Linked DNA regions of Cricetulus griseus. The protein of the gene in region 1 purifies or fractionates together with the protein of each later gene. This does not show direct contact. Links are inferred from orthologs where the notes say so. Each region holds a gene or a part of one and is shown in the gene's direction. Other genes may lie near its edges.

Region 1 (10,190 bases):
GTTTCAGATTAAGGTCAGTTTCCTTCTGGTTTTTAAGAGTATTTATACATTCTCTCAGTAATGGGAGTACTTTACTGGTTTGGTGGTAACTATTCTTGTATATAGATAAGCCAGAATTACACAGAGGGAGAATTCATCTGTAGGAATGTAACCATGCTTACACATAGGATCATCTTGAGTTCTCTTTCTGTGTGTTAATGTCATTGTTTCAAATTCAGTGTAGTTCTAAAATGACTTATACTCCCCTGCCAGAATAAACACAGCTTTCCCTCTTTCCACCATTCTCATCTCTGTAAATGGCTGTGCCATTTGGTGTCATCTGCAGCATCCACTTTTCTCTTTGTCAGTTAATTCCTATTGATCTCCCTTCCTGGCCTCCATGTCTAATATCGTCCTCTTTGTTCAGGTTTCCATCTTCCACCCACTGGTCTCTCCACCTGTTGTTATTGGTGGATTAGAGATAGGGAAGGGAGGTAGGGACTGAGCCCAGGGTCTCACACCTGCTATGCAAGTGTTTTACTTCTGATCTCATGTTCTTAGGCTGTGGAGCAAGTTTTTGAAATATTAATTTGTGTTTGTACAAGTTCAAATTGGCTTTATATTTTATTTACAGGTGTCCACTTGCGAAAGCAGCATTCCTATATTGAGCAGGGCAAAAAATGTCGCTACTGTGATGCTGTGTTTCATGAGCGCTATGCTCTCATCCAGCATCAAAAATCACATAAAAACGAGAAGCGCTTCAAGTGTGACCAGTGTGATTATGCTTGTAGACAGGTAGGTGCTATCTTAGAAAGCATTGGTATTCTGTCCATGTAAGGTACTATCAAAAGGCTTAGCCTATCTAGTTTTGTTGTAGTTAGTTGGTTGGTTGTTTGGTGTGTGTGTGTGTGTGTGTGTGTGTGTGTGTGTGTGTGTGTGTGTGTGTGTGTGTGTGTGTGTGTGTGTGTTGTTTCTGGAGGGTGGGGGCATTGTTTTGTTTTTATTTGTTTGTTTGTTTGTTTTTTTCAAGACAGGCTTTCTCTGTGTCCTGGAACTTGCTTTGTAGACCAAGCTGGCCTCGAGTTTACAGAAATCTACCTGCCTCTGCCTCCTGAGTGCTGGGATTAAAGCCCTTCCTGCAGATGAGTATAAGGAATACTACCAAAATCAGAGATGCTATTCTTTGTCACTTAGTTGGATCTGTGTCTCCATTTAATGCACTTTGCATCACAGTTGATATCTTAAGGCACACCATCAGCTTCTTTCTTGAAAAGGGGATATGTGGCTAAGTTGCTAGTAATATCCCCAATATTGTAAAATGTTTAAAACTTTTATGTAGGTGCTTTTTGCTGGGTGTGGTGGCACTCATCTATAATCTCAGCACTTGGGAGAGTCAGGAGACAATTAAAGTTATTCTTCACTACATTGTGAATTAGAATCCAGCCTGGACTACATGAGACCATGTCTGGGGAAAAAACAAACCAAATATCTCCATGGATATTAAGTCTAAGACTTGAGAAGGAAAAGAAATCTAGCCCTGTAATGTCTCTTCAAGGGAAGTTAGAAAAGCAGCCAAACAGGTGAGCAGCATTTAGGGCAGCAGTTCTGCATCCCTGTGAATAGGCTGTCACCATTATGACAAATGGTGTTAACTCCTTGAAGATGAAAGGCCTATGGCAGCTGGAGTAGCAGCTCTGTGACCATCTGAGGCCTTTCTGACAAGCAGTTCTGTTTTCAGGAGAGGCACATGATCATGCACAAGCGCACTCACACGGGCGAGAAGCCTTATGCCTGCAGTCACTGCGACAAGACCTTCCGCCAGAAACAGCTCCTTGACATGCACTTCAAGCGTTATCACGACCCCAACTTTGTCCCTGCAGCCTTTGTCTGTTCCAAGTGTGGGAAAACATTCACTCGCCGGGTAAGGATCAGTTTTCCCATTGTGGTTCTTAATAACACGTTCTTGATCTGCCATTCCAGAATGCTGTTTTTGCCACTATAGTTATAAATGTAGAGATGCTTTGCCATTTGGAAAGAGTTATTCATCCCTATCCCAAGCTCTTCTGCCTTCTATTGGTAGGGACTGCAATATATTTGAGTAGGCTAGTGATTAAAAGGCATTTCCTTGGGTAGATTGAAATCTGCATTCCATTTTATCCCTAGCTAGTTTGAGTCTCCTTTCTGTGTTGTTTAGCCAAGTAAGGACTGGCCAGCTGACTGACAATGCCCCTTCCCCCACCAATGACTATAAGCACTAAGCCACTAAGCTTTCCCCTATCCCCAGGGGCCCAGCCTTATCTTCTGACAGATGCTTCCTTCACTCCCTTCCTCTCTCAGTCTCTTTCCCCTTCTCTTAATTGCTCCAGATGCTGTCCCATCTCCCCTCAATGGGGGAGGAGGAGTATGTTCAATATAGTTATCAGTCCTTTGGGACTTTATGGATTCCTTAAAGTTTGTTTTTATTTAATTAAAGTTCCAGCCTGAACTTAGCTCTTTTAGTAGTGTGAAACAAGGTTTGTTCCTTTTGTCAGAATACAATGGCAAGACATGCTGATAATTGTGCTGGTCCAGATGGTGTGGAAGGGGAAAATGGAGGAGAGACTAAAAAGAGCAAACGAGGAAGAAAAAGAAAGATGCGTTCTAAAAAAGAAGACTCCTCTGACAGTGGTAAGTGGATCATTTGTTGACTCGGTTAGAGGTGACACATTTGGAGACCCAGTTCCCAGAAAATAAGTGTAGGATATAGAGGCAAGAAGATCACTCTTCTTTTATGCTTGTAGTCTTTGTAAAGCCAGGCATGGTGGTATGTTCCTCTGGAGTTGGAAGCAGGAAGATAGAACAGGGGTTCAATGCCAGCAAATTCAGGCTAGCCCTGGCATTAAGGATATCAGATAAACCCCAGAAGTTACAAGTGTTGACAGTAACTATGAGCTTGTTGCAGAGCTTTCTGCTGTCATAGACCCTATCCCATGCCTTTTCCTGCCACTGTTTTGTTCCTGTTCTGTCTCTGAAGAAATTATTGATGGCCCCAGTAGAGTTCTGCAGTTCTTCTTTTGTCTTGCATTACTCGTTTCTTTCAGGGCCTTAAGGTAGTGTTTCTTTTTCCTTCTTCCTAAATGTTGGAAAATGTCCTACTGCTAGCAAAGTTCTCTCAACCATCTGCAGAGATTGACCAGCAGTTTCTGTTACTTTTAAGAATTTTCCAGGCTGGGCGTTGGTGGCACACACCTTTAATCCCAGCACTTGGGAGGCAGAGGCAGGGGAATCTCTGTGAGTTCAAGTCCAGGCTGGTCTACAGAGTTCCTGGACAGCCAAGGCTACACAAATAACACCTCTTAACTAAAATAATCAAGGCCTAATAAAGAAGCCTAATAAAAGGAACTTTTTATGTTCTGATGAACAATATAAATACAGGCTGTATTTATATAAACTAGCCCAGGGTGGCCTCAAACTCTCAGGTCTCTTGCCTCAGAATCTTGAGTACGGACTTGTGTCTGTCTCATTCTTTATTCCTCAAACCACTGTTCAATGGTTTGAGGTCCTATAGATACTACTCAAGGAAATGGAGGGGAGCTGTCTGTCAAGTCAGTACACCGAATAAGAGATCTGAGACTTCACAGCCTTATCTGACTCCTTATCTGTATTCTCTTTAGTAATTCACTCTCTTTAATTTAATGCTTTCAAAGGCTGGGATTATTCTAGAAAAAAAGAGCCTTGTATTGCATCAACAGTTTTGTATTTCCTTCTCAAATAGGTGGGCATGTACTCACACATACTGTCCAGTCAGAGACGAGCATCTCCGTCTCCCCTGCTTCAACTTCAGCTCAGTCTCCTGCTTTATCCTGTATAATAAGAGGAATGTGTGTTTTATTTCCTCAAGCACCGTTTTGTAGTTTGTCACATAACTGATAAGAGATGAAAATGGTTCTATGGTTTTAAGCTTGGGGTTTTTTTGGGGGGCGGGTGTTTTTGTTTTACAATTTTTCACGACAGGGTTTCTCTTGTAACCCTGGCTCTCCCTGAACTCCTTATGTAGACCAAGCTGGCCTCTAACTCAAGAGATCTGTCTTCCTTTGCCTCTTGAGTGCCACCACACCTGACATAAACTCAGTATTCTTGGGCTGGAGAGATGGCTCAGCGGTTAAGAGCACTGACTGTTCTTCCAGAGGTCCTGAGTTCAATTCCCAGCAACCACATGGTGGCTCACAACCACCTTGAATGAGATCTAGTGCCCTCTGCTGGCATGCAGGCAGAAGACTGTATATGTAATAAATAAAATGTTTAAAACAAAACAAAACCTCAGTATTCTTACACTAAAGCTAAAAGGGAAAAGTAATGGGCACCCCATGTGAAATGTCAAAGTAAGGCATAGTTGAAATATATAATTTGAATACTTCTTCACAGGACCAGTTTACCTAATCAATGCTGATAGCAAAATTTTGGTAAAAGCCCTTTTTTGTTCGGTTTTGGTTTTGGGGGGTGGAGTGGACACAGGGTTTCTTTACGTAGCCATGGCTGGCCTTGAACTCAGAATCTGCCTGCCTCTACCTCCCAAGTGCTAGAAGTATAGACTGTTTTCAGAACATTTGTCTGCTGTCTCTTTCACCACTCTGCTTGACCCACCACCTGTGCCTTGATTTCTTGAGAAGAAAACGCTGAGCCAGATCTGGATGACAATGAGGAGGAGGAGGAGCCTGCTGTAGAAATTGAACCTGAGCCAGAGCCTCAGCCTCAGCCTCAGCCTCAGCCTGTGGCCCCAGCCCCACCACCTGCCAAGAAGAGGAGAGGACGACCTCCTGGAAGAACCAACCAGCCCAAACAGAACCAGCGTAAGTTGCCTGCCTTGGCTCAGTTGGCATCATCTCTCTCATTTGAGGAAGCCAGATTGGTCTGTGTTCTTGTGAAGATGGGAACTAAGCCATGAAAACAAGTGAAGGTCACATTGGCAACAGACTCTCAGGAAGCTTTTTTATTTTTTTTAAAGAAGTTTTCTCTAAAAGCCTGTTATATTCCTACAGAAAAAGTCCAGAGTAGGCTGGGTGATGGTGCACACCTTTAATCCTAGCACTTGGGAGGCAGAGGCAGGTGGATCTCTGAGTTCCAGGACAGCCAGGGCTACACAGAGAAACCCTGTCTCAGAAAAAAAAAAAAAAAAAAAAAAATTCCAAAGTAGAAGGATGCTGATGTCCTAGAGGCAGGTACACTGTTGATGTAGGAGGGTTTAGAAAACAACCAGTCACTGTGGCCTGTAAAGTTGATGTGGTTATGGATAGAAGGGAGCCAGATTTCAAGGGATGGGATAAAATGAGTGGACTGAGAGTGCCCATCTAGAGAGGATTCTGGTCCACAAAGCTGTGAGTGTCATTGTCACCCACAGTCTCAACACCTGGAGGACTGGGGCTGGCCTGGGCTACATGATGAGGAGGGGAAGGGAAAGAGAAAAGCAGAACTGAGGTGTCAGGGATGGCGTGGTGTGTCCCTTTCAGGCACAGGTAGAACAGAAGTTTACTCTCTATTCACTTCGTCTCTAATATGTTAAATATTCTTCCTGAGCCCGTGTTTACATGTCCATCACAAAGAAGGAAGTTAACTTTAGAGCTAGAACCAGGCTCTGCCTTTCACCTATATACACTGGATCAGGAGCACTATAGAGTCAGAAATATCATCGGCATCATACACTGATGTATTCCCAGTCATGTGTGCGGTTGGATTTTCTTCCCCTGCCTCATATTACTGTAAATCCTAAATTCACAACAAACATAAAGGAAAACTAAACATCTTAACAGTGCAGTTTGGAGGCCTATGAAGGTGGATGTCAGCATTTGGTGTGACAGTTTCTAGCCTATTGGTTTTTTTATGTGTGACCACTTTAACATTAGCTGAGGCTTGCTTGTGCTTTTTTCACTTTTGCTGTCTATGTTGATATATCCCCCCCTCCCCCACCTTGTCAGTATCTGAAAGGATCCCTGTACTCTCTGTGGACTTTAATGTACTATTTGTTTTGTTCCTGCTCTTCTTTGCCAGCAACAGCCATCATTCAGGTTGAAGACCAGAATACAGGTGCAATTGAGAACATTATAGTTGAAGTCAAAAAAGAGCCAGATGCTGAGCCTGTGGAAGGGGACGAAGAGGAGGCTCAAGCAGCCACCACAGATGCCCCCAATGGAGACCTCACGCCTGAGATGATCCTCAGCATGATGGACCGGTGATGACGGGGCCCTTGCTCGTCACCAGGACTATTGGGGCTGTGTTTAAACGGCCCACATCTTAATTTTTCTCTTTTCTTTTGGCTTTGGGAACGGCATAATTTTACACCATTTTACCAAACATACTGAGAACGAAAACTTCAAGGATGATGTTAGAAAAATGTGATTTACTAGAACTTGTTGTTTGATGTTAGCAAATCATGGAATGTTCCAAGTCTCTGAGGGTTTACTGTGAAGTGCTGAGGACAGTGTTGATGCCTAACTAGTTTTCTTAGATGGAAACAGAGACATTGAGCCCTCTCTCTTGATTTAGTAAACCACTCCAGAATGGCCACGGGTTTCCCAGAGTTCTATGGTCTTCCCAAGAAGAGTTTTTAATTGTAAATGCAGACTTGGGAAAGACTTAAGACTTTTAACCTGGTTTTTGCTTTTGCTTTTCCCTGACTCCCTTTGCTAGGAGTCAGCTGCACACCAGTAGGATGGCATGCTACGATCAGTTTCTGTCCTGAATGCTTTGCCTCTTTCTTGGCAAAGTTTCTGGTATGGTCAAGCTTGTAAATAACCTTTTTTACATTTTAATCTTTTCCATTAATTAAGAGGTTGAAAAGAAGCGCAGTGTAAGAAAACCCAGCATTTTAATTACTTGCAAATTAAGGTACCAGGGACTGGGTGGTGTGTAAATGTTGTATCTATCACAATCATGTGGCAGAAGGGCATCGGGCCTGCTGCCTGCTAGTGATGGACACCCATGTCGAAAGTTGTGATTTCCAGCTCATGGAGCCAGCATTTGAACCTTGAACAAATAACTCTCATTTATGATTTCCCATCAACATTTCCTTTGCTCTGTTTGTAGCTGAATGTTATATTTTTTAAATCTTTGTTAAAGCCAGAAGAGTTGATTATGAATGGGTCACAGCAGCCCTGGCAAGCTGGGCCAAAAAATTTCACTAGGTCAGTAATTTAAACTTTGGATCTGGAAAAAAAAAAAAAAGAAAGAAAAATGATTAATAATAATGTGAAGCAAACCAACTTAAAAAGTGATTCTTGCACATGAATTGTCACATGTTGATATGTGTTTTTTTAAAAGAGCCTCAGTCTGACTGATTTCAAACACTTTTTTTCTTCCGTGTATTGCTTTTAAGAGAGCCATCAGTTAGCTATCAGACTCTAGGTTGATGCATTTTTGTACTTAGCTGTACTGTGTGATATTTTTCATTATTTTAGGACGCCAACATGAGACCTGTAATAAAATATGTAATGGGGTTGAAAGCTGGGGAGGAGGATCTACTGCTGTACAGCTAATAAATCATAACGGATTAACAGGCACTCTGCAGACTCCATCTTTTGTGATTCCTGTTAGCTGGGGTCCCTCGGGGCCTATCTCAGCTTCCTCTAAGCAACAGCCTGTAGCTCGATGGTCCTGGCAGACCACAGCATGGAATGTATCCTGTTTCAAGTCGTAGTGCCAACAAGTGTGCAGGGATAGAGAAGTGCATGCTTAACATAGCCTCCTGTTTCCACGGTACACCTGAGATGCCTGCCCCTTACACAACAGGCATTGCCAGAGGATGCTGTGTCCTTGAGATCTGCTTTAGGAAGATTTACGGTCTGTCCTAGTTTTTAGCCAGACAGGGAGCAGAAAAGCTGAGCTCAACCTGTGAGAGACAAAGAGCATTGGAAAAGTAAGACAGGCTGAGGACAAACTCAGGTGATAATTCTTATTCCTTAGCTCCACGGGGGGGGGGGGGTCGTCAGATAATACATTGTAGTGGAAACCACATTGTGTGTGTGTGGGGGGGGTGTTTCACTAAAAATACTCCTTATTGGATTTCTCCTGTCTCTGTGTGTTATTTCACCAAAAGTCCAATACTGGTTTTCAGATGCTTTTCTGTGAGAAAAAGGCAAAGGGCAAGATTCACGCAGCTTGTAGCTGGCTTGTGTTACCTGTTCGAGCAATTTAATGAGGAAAACAACAATGGGCTTCTTGAGTCTGGAAGGTTCCAAACCAGGCAGGCATCTCACCTAAATGAGTACTAACAGCCTTGGACTGTTAGAACTAGAGTTATTTATAATTAGAAAATCCCTTTTACAGAACAGTCAGCCAGTATGCCCCCCCCCCTGTTTATGTATATTCAAATTTCCTGAAAATTCAAGAGTGCATCTGTCTTGGGCTAGCTTGGTGAAAGGGTCAAGCAGGAAGTGAAGTTCTGATGGAGCTAAAGAACGGTTTTGCACAGCTTGTGCTACACCTGACATGAGTCCATTAACCCCTCTACATCCAGCTGGCCATCACCCCTATTCTACTGTGAAAGCTTAGCAAATTGCTGAGCCTGCAGTAATCAGTAATCTATAGTCTGTAATACATTCTTTACATTTCTGGCCTGGCTTCAGCCCTGTCCACAGCTGTCCTGTTCTGTGAGCCCTCAGAACAGGTTCTTAGTCAGGTTCTTTTTCTAGTAAAACCACTTGCGGTGAATGAGCCCTCATCCAATGTTCCTCAGCATTAAGTTTTTTTGTCCTGCTGAGCTTCCACATCACCCGCAGAATCTGTCTTGAGTGTTCTTGGTCTCAGATTTGTTTGTCACTACTGTACCAACCACAAGCAGCTGTAAGCTAGACTTGGTTACCTCTGTAGATCCTGTTTTTTCCAGTAGTCCCTATCTGCCTCAAGCACTCGAGGCATAGGAATAACCCTGTTAGTGTTCTGTCTGGCCTTGACCAGGAGGGTGCTTCTGCCTGGGCACTTCTATCGCCCTTTGACAGTCACCCCTTCTTATTTTAATGAGAAAAGTTCTAGAGGGCAGAGGGGGGTAGAAGTCCCAGAGATGCCATGGTAGGCTTGGTAGATGGAAGTACTCACTGAATACACATCTCTAAATAAACATCACAGCCAGTCATGCTGGCACACCACTGTAATGCCAGCACTTTGGAGGAGGCAGGAATTCAACGCTGGCTTGGTGCTCAGAAGCAATTCTGGCGCTCAGGAGGTGAAGGAGGATTGCCACAAGCTTAAGGCCAGCTTGAACTACATAGTACCTGACAGCCAGGGATAGCAAGAGCCCCGTGCCAACAAAAAGGGAGCTGGAGAAATGGTTCAGTGGTTAAGGCACTTGCTGCTCTTGTAGAGGACCAGAATTTGGTTCTAGCACCCACTGCGGGCAGGGCACAATTACCTATAACTCTGGGTGATCTGATACCCTTCTGACCCCTGTGTGCACCCACACAAAGTGCATAGACACACAAACCAAGTTCTGGGAGTAACTCAGGTGTCAGTCGATAGCTTTTTTTTTTTTTTTAAAGATTATTATGTATACAACATTCTGCTTCCATGTATATCTGCACATCAGAAGAGGGCACCAGATCTTATAACGGATGGTTGTGAGCCACCATGTGGTTGCTGGGAATTGAACTCAGGATCTCTGGAAGAGCAGTCGGTGCTCTTAACCTCTGAGCCATCTCTCCAGCCCCAGTCAATAGCTTTCAAAAGACTAGTGAGGCTAATTGTCAAAATTCATTCACTTTGTCTTTCAAAACCCACATTCTTGGCCATAATGAGCATGAGACTAATTTCTGCCACCCTATAAGCTATTTGTGAATTCCAGATGGCCTTAAAGTCTTACATGTCAGTCTCAGGCTGAGAGGCATCAGAACATCTTGGTTCTGACTGCATCTGCTCTAGCCAATCGCTCCCTATCCTATCAGCCTTAAGCTGTCCTACCATGTTCATCTTAAAATGACTGTGTCGTTCCCCAATTTCTACTTTCTACTTTCTACTTTCTACTTTCTCCATTTCTACTTCCTGTCTTGTCCTATGATTTGGTGGAAGTCGGCAAACACATTAAGAGGTTTGTTCTCATCACATTTCAGGGAATTGAACTCTTTCACGTAGGCAAAGCAAATGCTCCTGGCACTTAGCCATTTTATTTTGAAGAGACAGGGTCTCTGTGTTGTTCAGGTTGTTCAGAAAGTCCTGTTGATTCAGAATGGCTGGGACTTGGTCAAGGG
Region 2 (10,388 bases), on another chromosome or scaffold:
TAATCCCATTTTCTTAGTCACTGTGAATAACAACTCAACAAACATAGGCACACAGGTATCTGTATTGTATGCTGATTCAAACATATACCCGAAAGGGATGCAACCAAATCACTGTAAATTCAATTTTGAGGAACCTTCAGATTTCTTTAGTGTTTCTACTAATTCATGTTCCCACAAAATATATGTACATGTTCATTTTGCCAACATCTAAACCTGTAGTAAGTTTTCTTTTCTACAGTAGATATTCTAACTGGGGTTAAGAGGCCCCCATTGTGATTAGATTTGTATACCCTCAATGAATAATGATATTGAGCATTTTCATATATTTATGATTAATATTTTTCTTTTGAGAAATATCTATTTCTCATTTTGACTAACTTATCATTATTAAGGTCTTTAGTTATATTTTAGAGATTTGTTGTTTGTCTGAGGAATAGCTGGCAAGCATTTTCTTTCATTCTGTGATGTGTTTCTCCGCTCTGGTAATTGTGTGGCCTTTGCTGTGCAGAAAATATTTATTTTGCTGTCAGTTCTGTACAAGTCCATTTTTGAGATTATTATCATATTAAGCTGTGTTAGGGTATTCATAAGGATATGTGTACAAAGATACTAAGGTACAATTTGACTATATTCTTTTTTGGGGGGGCAGGTTTTGAGGCAGGGTTTCTCTGTGACTTTGGAGGCTGTCTTGGAACTAGCTCTTGTAGACCAGGCTGGTCTTGAACTCACAGAGGTCTGCCTGCCTCTGCCTCCTGAGTGCTGGGATTATTTTTATTTTACTATTATTATTTTTGTTTTTTGAGACATTATATTATATATGTTTCAATTTGCATAGGCCTATATAATTGCAATGAAAAAGACAATAAACATTCTTTTATGGCTACCTTAAAAACACAGGTTTTGCTTATTTTTTTGAGACAAGGTTTCTCTGTGTAGCCCTGGCTGTCCTGGAACTCTGTAGGCCAGGTGGCCCAAAACTCAAGAGATCTACTTGCCTCTGCCTCCCAAGTGCTGGGATTAAAAGCATGCACCACCATTTTAAGGCTGGCTTAAAAATACATTTTTAACAAATGTAACACAAAACATAAAAGACCCAGAGACTGATATTGGGGTTCAAACTTCAAGCTGAAAAACAGAAAAGCAAAGTAGTGGGCCACTACCTCAGGCTGAATGGGCTGATCCTGCTGCCTCTCCTCAGCATGGCTTGAGAATCCTCAATATGGATGGAGAATGAATGCTCCTATTTTCAGTGTGACTGGAGAATGAATGTTTAATACTGAGACCTTGATCCTGTGTTTTATATACCTCACTAATGTTGGGATTAAAGGCGTGTGATCCCAGGTGCTGAGATCATCTTTGTGTGAGCTGTTTATCTTGTGTAGATCTGGGTGGCCTTGGACTCACAGAGATCTGTCTACCTCTTAATCCTAAAATTAAAGGTGTGTACCACCACCTCCTAGTTTCTGGCTGCTGGGAATAAAGGTGTGTGCCTGGCTTCTGTGGCTCATGGCTAACTTTGCTTTCTGAATCCTCAGGCATGCGTTAATAAATCATAAATATTACTACAAATAAACACTTAAAAAAACAAAACAAATCCATGATTCTGATACAGTGTAGGGGTCTTGATTAGGTTTATTTTCTCTGACAGTTAAAGAATTAAAGGCAGGAAAAATCTGAAGTACAACATGTAGCAGCAGAGAACTCTGCAGACAGGATCAGGAAGGTGTTTATTGGTGGTGAGGAAGCCTATGTATGCAGAGACACACAGAGAAAAGACCCTCTGTGAAGCTGGAAAATCCAGCCCCCTGTCCAGGGCTGGGATTTTAAGTCTCTGAAGAGTTTTCCTCCCCTAATTTATGGTTTGTCAGTTTGAAGAAAGTTAGGGCATTTGATTGTTCCAGAACTGTTGTGTGATGTCCTGAGCAGGCCTTGAACTTGTTGAGCCTGTCTGTCAGGAGGAGGCCTGCTGGTGGGAGACAATAGCCTACAAGGCCTTTTGTCTCAAGGTAGGTGGTTAAGGAAAAAGCTGGCCATCTTGGAGATGGCTTTATTATCTCGCCTTAGCCCCTCTCCCTATCGGTCTGCCCAACAGGGAGTCTGTGTAACTCCTAATCCTTCAATCCCATGAGTTTATATTTAGACAAGGTGCCTGAAATGTTGCAACAAGTGTGTTTTCATTAGTGATAGCTCCCAAATAGTTTAGTGTCTGCATTAGATGTGTTTCTTTTGTTTGTTTTTGGAGACAGGGTTTCTCTGTGTAGCTCTGGTTGTCCTAGAACCCGCTCTGTAGACCAGTCTGGCCTTGAACATTTGAGATCTCCCTGCTTCTGCCTCCTGAGTACTGGGATTAAAGGCTTTTCTCTCTCCCCAACCCCCTGCATGTGCTGTGTTTAAATGATCCAGAATCTAGGAAACAATGAAGTAGTTTTTTGACCCGCCCTGGCTCTAAGAACATTCTCCCTCCTAGACTAGAAGCCTTCGAATTTTGAATGGCCAGACTGCTCACTTGTGGTTTTCCCTTTTCCCGTTTATCTCAGTTGCTTACATAGACAGTACTTCCAAGTTTCAGGATTTACTCTAGTAGTTGTAAAGTGGAAATTCACTGGGCCCCATTCACATCTTGAGGCTGATTTTTTCCCCCCCAAATTTAGGATTTGGTTAATAATCTGCTCATACGTTTTATACTCAACTGGTCTTCCCAATTGGACCATCTCTGGAGTAAAGAGTCTGGGGGCATGAATACCATTACTCACATTCCTCCCAGTAACCTTTTCATTTGCTAGCTATGTTGAGATAAAAAGATTAGGGCTGCTCTCAGTACGCACCCAATGTTGAGGGATGTTTGTCGGGACGCAGTTTAAAATGCTATTTCCCAGCCAAAGATTCTAATCAAGGCTCCTGTATTTCTTAGAAGTCATATGCCTTCATTTGGAATGATAAGGATGACCTGCGTGTTCTCAATTCTGCACACACCTCTAAACTTTTAGAAAGGTGCTCTTTGGCCCTCGAATGACGTAAAGCTGAGAACTTAAGACTTTGGAGATGCTGCCTCAGAAAAGAGGTATAAAAAGTATGGCTGATGCCGGGCGGTGGTGACGAATGCCTTTAATCGCAACACTCGGGAGGCAGAGACAGGCGGATCCCTGGGAGTTTGAACCCAGCCTGTGAGTTCCAGGACAACCAGGGCTGTTACAGAGAAACCCTGTGTGGAAAAACCACAAAAAAAAAAAAAAAAAAAAAAAAAAAGGCTGACAAAGTGGCAAGCAGAGAATCATTCTACTAATGATCCGTCTGTCCTGCCTTTGGCTCCTGAAGCTCTATGGGAAAAGGATAAAATAAGACCAAGCCTTCGAGGAGGTCAAATCCTGAGATTATGCCTGTTGCAGGTCTACCGAGAACCGGAGGGCGAAGAACAGCGAAGGGAGTCGCCCGCTGGTTCCCGGCCGGCAGTCGCCATCTTTTAGGGTGGGCTGCGCAGCCTCTCCGCGCAGGGCCCGCGTGGAGAAGCCGAAACGTGGTAGCTTCGGAGGGCTGGAGCGCGTTACAAAGGGAAAGTGCGCCTGCGCTCGGGCAACCGCGCTGGAGGGGCGGGGCCAGAGGGAGGACGCGCGTGCGTAGTGCGAGCCCGCCAAGCACCTGGAAGAGGTGGGGAGGGGAGGTAGAGAGGCGTGGGATAGGACAGCGCTTGCGCAAGAGCGAGACAGTGCGGGAAGTGGGGGATCCGGAGCACGCTCGCGGAGGCGGGACTAGGGCAGATCTCGCGAGATTTGCTGCGGCCATATATACGTGCGGCGAGCCCGCGTCCTTTCCCTGGCGTGATTCCGTCCTGCTTGTCTGTTCTGAGGAGCAGTAGGCAGTTTCCTCCGTCCGATATCTCGCATACCGAAGTGCGCGTCTCCACCTCATGGAAGACTCGATGGACATGGACATGAGCCCTCTTAGGCCACAGAACTACCTTTTCGGTAACTGCCTGGCGGGGAGGGCCTGGGCAGGGCCTGGTGGTTGGGGGGGCGGCGGGAGTCCAGTTGAGGCCTGGCGTGTGCCAAGCGCGGCGTGGGTGGAGGCCTTTGCACGGCTGGGAGGAACCGCCTGGGCCGCGGGAGCCGAAGAAAGCCGAGGCCCGGGCGCTGAGCGGGACCGTAGCTTGGGGCGGCAGCGGCCCAGCCTCGAGCCTCTGGCGTTGAGAGGGCGGTCGGCCGAGGGTGCCAACTTGGCTTGGGGCGCGAGCAGGGGCTGTGACGACACTTTCTCTTCATACGTGAAGAAGGCCTCAGGACCTGGCAACAGGCAGCTGAAATTCAGCGCTGGGCCCCAGGCGCGTCCCGGGATAATGGTGCCTCTGGAGCGCGGCCTGCGCCGCCTCGTTGGGACGGTATAAGTGCAGTCCGCTGGGCTTTACAGGGGCTTCGGCCCCTCCTCCCCGTGCATCCGAGAGGTTCCGCCGCTGACAGGGACTCGGCCGGCCAAGCTCCCTGCGGCTGAGGGGGCCGCAACCCCTGGGAACACGTGGTTGCCACGTGGTTGGGGGTAGGGAGGGGGTGTGGGCTCTACATCCGGGCTCTCCTCACTTCTTAACCCTGGTCCTTCGGGTCCTGTGGTTTAATTAGGAGTGCTAGGCGGGAAACGCGTAAAGTGGCGCGTGGCGTCCGTGTCTTTGTTAAGATCTTGTAGCATCCACGGTGATGGTAGTGACTTTTTTTTAGAGACCCTTTAGTGCCTCTGCAAGAGGTGGAGTCAGCCCCACGCTGCCGATGACGATATTGATGGTCGAAGGGTCTTGATGTTAAGAGAGGGCCACGAAATCTTAAGTCGAAACTATCCTTTTCCCTACAACTGGTCTTTTTTTTTTGATTGGGCCGGGGAAGAGAGAGAAGTGCCTCCCGCGTTTAGCAGATTAAGGGATCACTTTGGTAACTCGGCTTCTGGGGACCCCACTGTCACTGCACATTCAGCTTATCGGTTTTACAGTCTATTAGTTTGGTTTTCAGTGACTCGAGTCAATTTTTTCAAAATTCCGAGTGTTTAAAGCACTTTCCCCTACGTGAATGAGTAGTACATGTTTAATGTACTCTAAGCATGAAGGGTTTAAGCTGTCCCTACTGGTCATGTGTAACCACTGTTGATTTGTAGTAATTTCCTTTAGAACGTAGGTAAGTTGGGTTTTTTAAAAATAGTGCTAGATAATGGTATGGTGCCACTATGCAAAAATCCAGTTTTAGGTCATTGGGTTTTCTGTGAAAAAATGGTAACGGTGCCTCATTAATTGGTCGTGAGTTACTATGAAAAAGTAGAACTTTTATTGGCTTTCTTATACAGTAGATTCCACGGAGAGAACATTTTTAAGTTAAAAGAGTAGAAGTTAATGGTCGTTTGGGACTGTGATGTTCATCTTGCTAGATTTATTTTATTTTTTCTTTACAGGTTGTGAACTAAAAGCTGACAAAGATTATCACTTTAAGGTGGATAATGATGAGAATGAACACCAGTTGTCACTAAGAACGGTACTTAAACTTTGAAATTAATTAGCCATTAGATTTCAGCCACTTGGATCTAAGTGAGGGGATTTATGTCAGTTTGTGCTTCCTTAACTGATGGAAAAATAGTATTTTTATAACTTTAAAATAGTTCACATATGTACTGGTAACAAAGAACTGGGTGTCTTTTCCACAGTCACTGTTATAATTAGTTGTCTAGTAAGGCTCTGCAGGATGTGATCTTTTTAAGTCTGTTGGCTATATTTTATTGGTTGTTTGGCTTTCTTAGGAACATACAGTGTTTTGTGTCTATGCATCTCGTAATTATATGAGAGGACTAGTTATCAGTAGTGAGAAGAGGCTAATTAAAAAATTTAAGGGGTGTTTATAAAACAACTGGGTACTGAAGGATCTTTCTTTTTGTTCACAGGTTAGTTTAGGGGCAGGGGCAAAAGATGAATTACACATCGTAGAGGCAGAAGCAATGAACTATGAAGGCAGTCCAATTAAAGTAACGCTGGCAACATTGAAAATGTCCGTACAACCAACAGTAAGTACATTTGTAAACATTGTTTTTAAAGTTGGTCTCTAAGACTGATTTAGGATAAGCAAAGATGTTTCAAATAAGTTATATCTAGTGTGAGATTATCTCTGTGGCTTCTAGATAGGTTTATTGATTATATAACTCTGTTGGTGATGCTTGGTGCAAAACATTCTTAAAACAATGTTTAATGATTGAAATTTGCTCATTTTTAGGTTTCCCTTGGTGGCTTTGAAATTACACCACCTGTGGTGTTACGGTTGAGGTGTGGTTCAGGGCCTGTGCACATTAGTGGACAGCATCTAGTAGGTATGTTTTTGGGTTTTTAAATCTGGTATTTCTATTAGGAACTGGCTTTTTTTAATATTTGTGTTTTGGCCAGGTTAGAGAAGACGTCTGTTGCCACTACTTGGGTCCTTGGGATTGAATACTGAGGTTTAGCCACAAAGATCTTGTAATTAGATTGGCTATCATCCTAGATCTCCAATATGGACTTTGTAAAAGTTCTTAGTTGTCTTATGCTGAAATAGGAATCTGGTAATGTATAAAAAGATAACACCTGAGTATCTTATTTCAGCTGTAGAGGAAGATGCAGAGTCAGAGGATGAAGATGAGGAGGATGTGAAACTCTTAAGTATGTCTGGCAAGCGATCTGCTCCTGGAGGTGGTAGCAAAGTTCCACAGGTAATTTTTTTTTTTAGGAAATGTTTTTGGTTTCAATATGTTAAATACTAAGGAATGACTCTTTCTCACAAATACATTTTTCTTTTAAGAAAAAAGTAAAAATCGATGAAGATGAGGATGATGATGATGAAGATGATGAAGACGATGAAGAGTAAGTATAAGTTTGTATGGTCTTAGAAACTTGACACACTGCACTGTGAAGGGTTTTAGGAAAATTGATTTGCCCCAATAGTTTCTAAAAGTGACAAAAAGGATTGATGGTTGAAAGTGAAGACACTTGTGCCTGTTAGGTTGTGATTCTTTCAGTGGGACATTGATTTTTTTTTTTGAGTTTAAAATAGGTTAAAATAAGATTTCATGTGTTGTGCCTGTAACAGATGTGAAATGTCTTGACATGAGTTATCTTTGAATATCTTGTTAGAAGTTGTGGAATTGGTCATGTTTTATTTATTGAAAGCATTATGTATGAAGTAAGAACTGTTGAGGAAAGCAAATTTGGGAGTGGGTATTAATATATAGATTAACTAGCAAACTGAATAATGCATGAAAAATGATACATCTATGGTTCCTTTTAGGTAATGTTACACATTACCTAAATACCTTGTATGATAATATCCGGTTATGGATATCTGAAAAGATAACTCATTTTATATATAAATTGGAAGTTTCTGGTTAAGAGAAAGCCTCTTGGGTTCTAAAGCCAGTTTTTGTTTTTTGTTTTATTTTTCTTCGTTTGGCTTTTGCCATAGCAGTTTTATTAATTTTGCTTCTATTGATACAATCACATATTTTATATGTAAGACTGAGGAACATTTTGTCACATAACTGCTTCCTAACTTGTCATAATTTCAGCCTTCCCCTCCTTTATATGGGGGTTTTTATTTTTGATCATGGTACAATTGATCAGATGTATGGTGTGCCTCTTTATTGTAAGTTAATATTTTATTTTATTAGTTCAAATTAGGAACAAGCTTCACATGTCAATCCCTTCTCCCTCTCCTCCCCAACATCCCACCTGCCCCTAGCCATCCCCTCTCCACTCCCCAGGCAGGGTAAGGTCCTCAAAAGGGGCTCCCCATAGTCTACCACATCCTGGGCCAGGCCTAGGCCCTTCCCCCTGTGTCCAGGCCAAGAGAGCATCCCTTCACATGGGATGGGCTCTCAATCCCTTTTTTTTTTTAAGACCTTACATATTTAATACAGTGCGTTACCTCTGTACAAATGGAAAAAAAGTTAAACATTTCTAGACCAATATGGCTGCTAATTTTGTACAATGCCAACTCAGCGCAGTAAACTGGGATACTTTTCCAAAGTTGACAGCACAGCTAAAGTTCCCCAAAATTCAAATTATATATGTATATATATTTATATTTATATAAAAAGACCAATAATGGCAGTATGTTAAAAGCCAGCATTAAAAACTACCAAAAGCGCTGGGCGTTGGGGGCGACCCTTTAATCCCAGCACTCAGGAGGCAAAGGCAGGCGGATCTCTGTGAGTTCGAGGCCAGCCTGGTCTCCAGAGCGAGTGCCAGGATAGGCTCCAAAGCTACACAGAGAAACCCTGTCTTGAAACCCCCCCCCAAAAAAAAACTACCAAAGCATTGGATTTACATGTGGCTTTTGACATCATGGTATAATAATGAGATGATTTCCCACACTACTGAAAAGGTCATTAATATGTGAAGTTCGTGCTTTTCAATTTAATGAGACTAGTGTGGAAATCTGTGGCCAATGTTGGTAGAACTTATAGATTGAATGCAGATATAGTTAAAACTTTGAATTTATGTTTTAGAATTTATTATGCAGTGTTCTGCCTGCAGGCCAGAAGGGGGCACCAGATATCAAGAGAAGGCTTTGGGCCATCATGTGGTTGCTTGGAAGGACCTCTGGAAGAGTAGCCAGTGCTCTTAACCGCTGAGCCATCTCTCCAGCCCCAACTTATACATGTGTACTCAAATATATATACTTAAAGATACTTTAAGTGATTTTACCCTGTAATGTGATTCACTCCCTTTTAAAAGACTTACTGTGTCTGAAGACCATTTTGTACTTACACACTTTAAGCAAATGTCATGTGGATCCAGATCATCTCAGATCTATCTAGATTGTGAAAGTGAGAAGCAGCTCCTTTTTTGAGGTAATAACACTCAAGTAGTTGGAGGTGGATTCTGCTAATTGCAATCTGGCAGCTTAATTCTCATGGCACATAATAAATGTTTAGGGAGAGCCAATAAAGTAAGCCTTGCCAAACACTGCATACACTAGAATGAAAAAAGCAGAAGAGCTTTGATTGTCTCAAGGAAAGGAGAAGCATTAAGACAACAGCTATAGATTCAGAACAGATTAAAAATTTTACTGCAGGTTTGTATTCTGTGCATTTCCTCCCAACAGGCCTTGGCTGTCTTGGGTCTCATTCTGTAGACCATGCCACCATGAACTCAAGAGGCCTCTGCCTCCCAAGGGCTGGGATTAAAAGTGTGCACCTCCCTAGCCAAACTCTTATCTAGTATTCCTTAAGCTGTAGTTAGCTACTTGTGAATTTTGTAGATTGGCCTTTTCAAGGAATTAAGTCATAGAATCCTATTCATTTGTGTGTGACTTAACTGATTTTTGACAGTGATTACATTTTTATGGGCTGAGAATTTCTTGTGGATATGCTGTTGCTGTGGTCATTGTCAGCAGTATATGGAAGTTCTTCAAGTTACCTCTTTAAAGGGTAACATGGGCAAAGCGGTATCATGTTCAGTTTATATTCCCTAGAGGACTAAAATCTTCTCATGTTAAGCTTTTTGGTGGTTGTGAGACAGGATTTCTCAGACTATTGAGGAGGCTGTCCTGGATATCCTGGAACTAGGTCTTGTAGACGAACGAACTCAGATCCACCTGCTTCTACCTCCCAAGTGCTGGGATTAAAGGAGTGTGCTACCACTGCCTTGCTTGTACAATTAACATCTTTGCTCTTATTAAGGGGGTAGCTTAATTTTAAGGAAGCCTGGGTTTTTTTTTTTTGATGCAAAACTTAGGAACTAACTCATCAAATCTGTTAATGAAAATTTGCTTCCAAGTTTTGTAGCTTATTCCTGAGACCAAGTGTGAGACTCTTGGGTTTTTACTTGTGAATATAATTATTTTCTACCTTAGGTTCCTTGAACAACTGAATCCTAATTATCAATAACTACAAATTGTATGTTGGAGTATTGCCGATTTAGCATTATTAACTCCTGATTTATTGAGATACTATTTCCAAAAAACTACATTTCATAACCCTTAGTAACAATAGTATTATGAGTAAGACACTATCCCTTTGAGTAGCTGACTTTTGTTTGCTTTTTTCTTTTCATAATTTTTATTTCATGTGTTCTCACATTTTGCTTATATAAATGTGAAGGTGTCAGATTCCCTGAAACTTAACAAGTTGCCATGTGGGTTCTGGGTGTTTGGACCCAGTTCCTCTGGAAGAGAAAGTAAGCCAGTACTTTTACTAGTGAACCATCTCTTCAGCACCTTGATTTTTCTTTTTAAATGGCTGAGTAACATTTGTTAGATACTTAATTAGGCCTTTTTGTTTTTCCAGGCAGGGCTTAAAGAGCCCTGGCCACTCTGGAACTCAACTTAGTCTGGCCTCAACTCAGATTCACCTGCCTCTGCCTTCAAGTGCCTTGATTAAAGGTGTGCACCACTACCATC

The links. Proteins that work in one complex are often made in the same cells at the same time.
Region 2: the proteins of Ctcf (region 1) and nucleophosmin purify together in Homo sapiens (affinity purification with mass spectrometry; 6 studies listed by BioGRID and IntAct, with this or other methods). This does not show direct contact. The link is inferred for Cricetulus griseus from reciprocal best matches to the Homo sapiens genes CTCF and NPM1.

Annotation. Positions count from the first base shown.
Region 1 is NC_048596.1:181,956,902-181,967,091, forward strand, and holds the end of Ctcf (transcriptional repressor CTCF), read left to right. Parts: intron 1-613; coding exon 614-774; intron 775-1,717; coding exon 1,718-1,900; intron 1,901-2,510; coding exon 2,511-2,646; intron 2,647-4,625; coding exon 4,626-4,808; intron 4,809-6,003; coding exon 6,004-6,188; 3' UTR 6,189-7,511; downstream 7,512-10,190.
Region 2 is NC_048600.1:48,342,665-48,353,052, reverse strand, and holds the start of nucleophosmin, read left to right. Parts: upstream 1-3,788; 5' UTR 3,789-3,904; coding exon 3,905-3,962; intron 3,963-5,421; coding exon 5,422-5,501; intron 5,502-5,904; coding exon 5,905-6,024; intron 6,025-6,230; coding exon 6,231-6,324; intron 6,325-6,592; coding exon 6,593-6,699; intron 6,700-6,788; coding exon 6,789-6,850; intron 6,851-10,388. UniProt on the Homo sapiens protein: Involved in diverse cellular processes such as ribosome biogenesis, centrosome duplication, protein chaperoning, histone assembly, cell proliferation, and regulation of tumor suppressors p53/TP53 and ARF.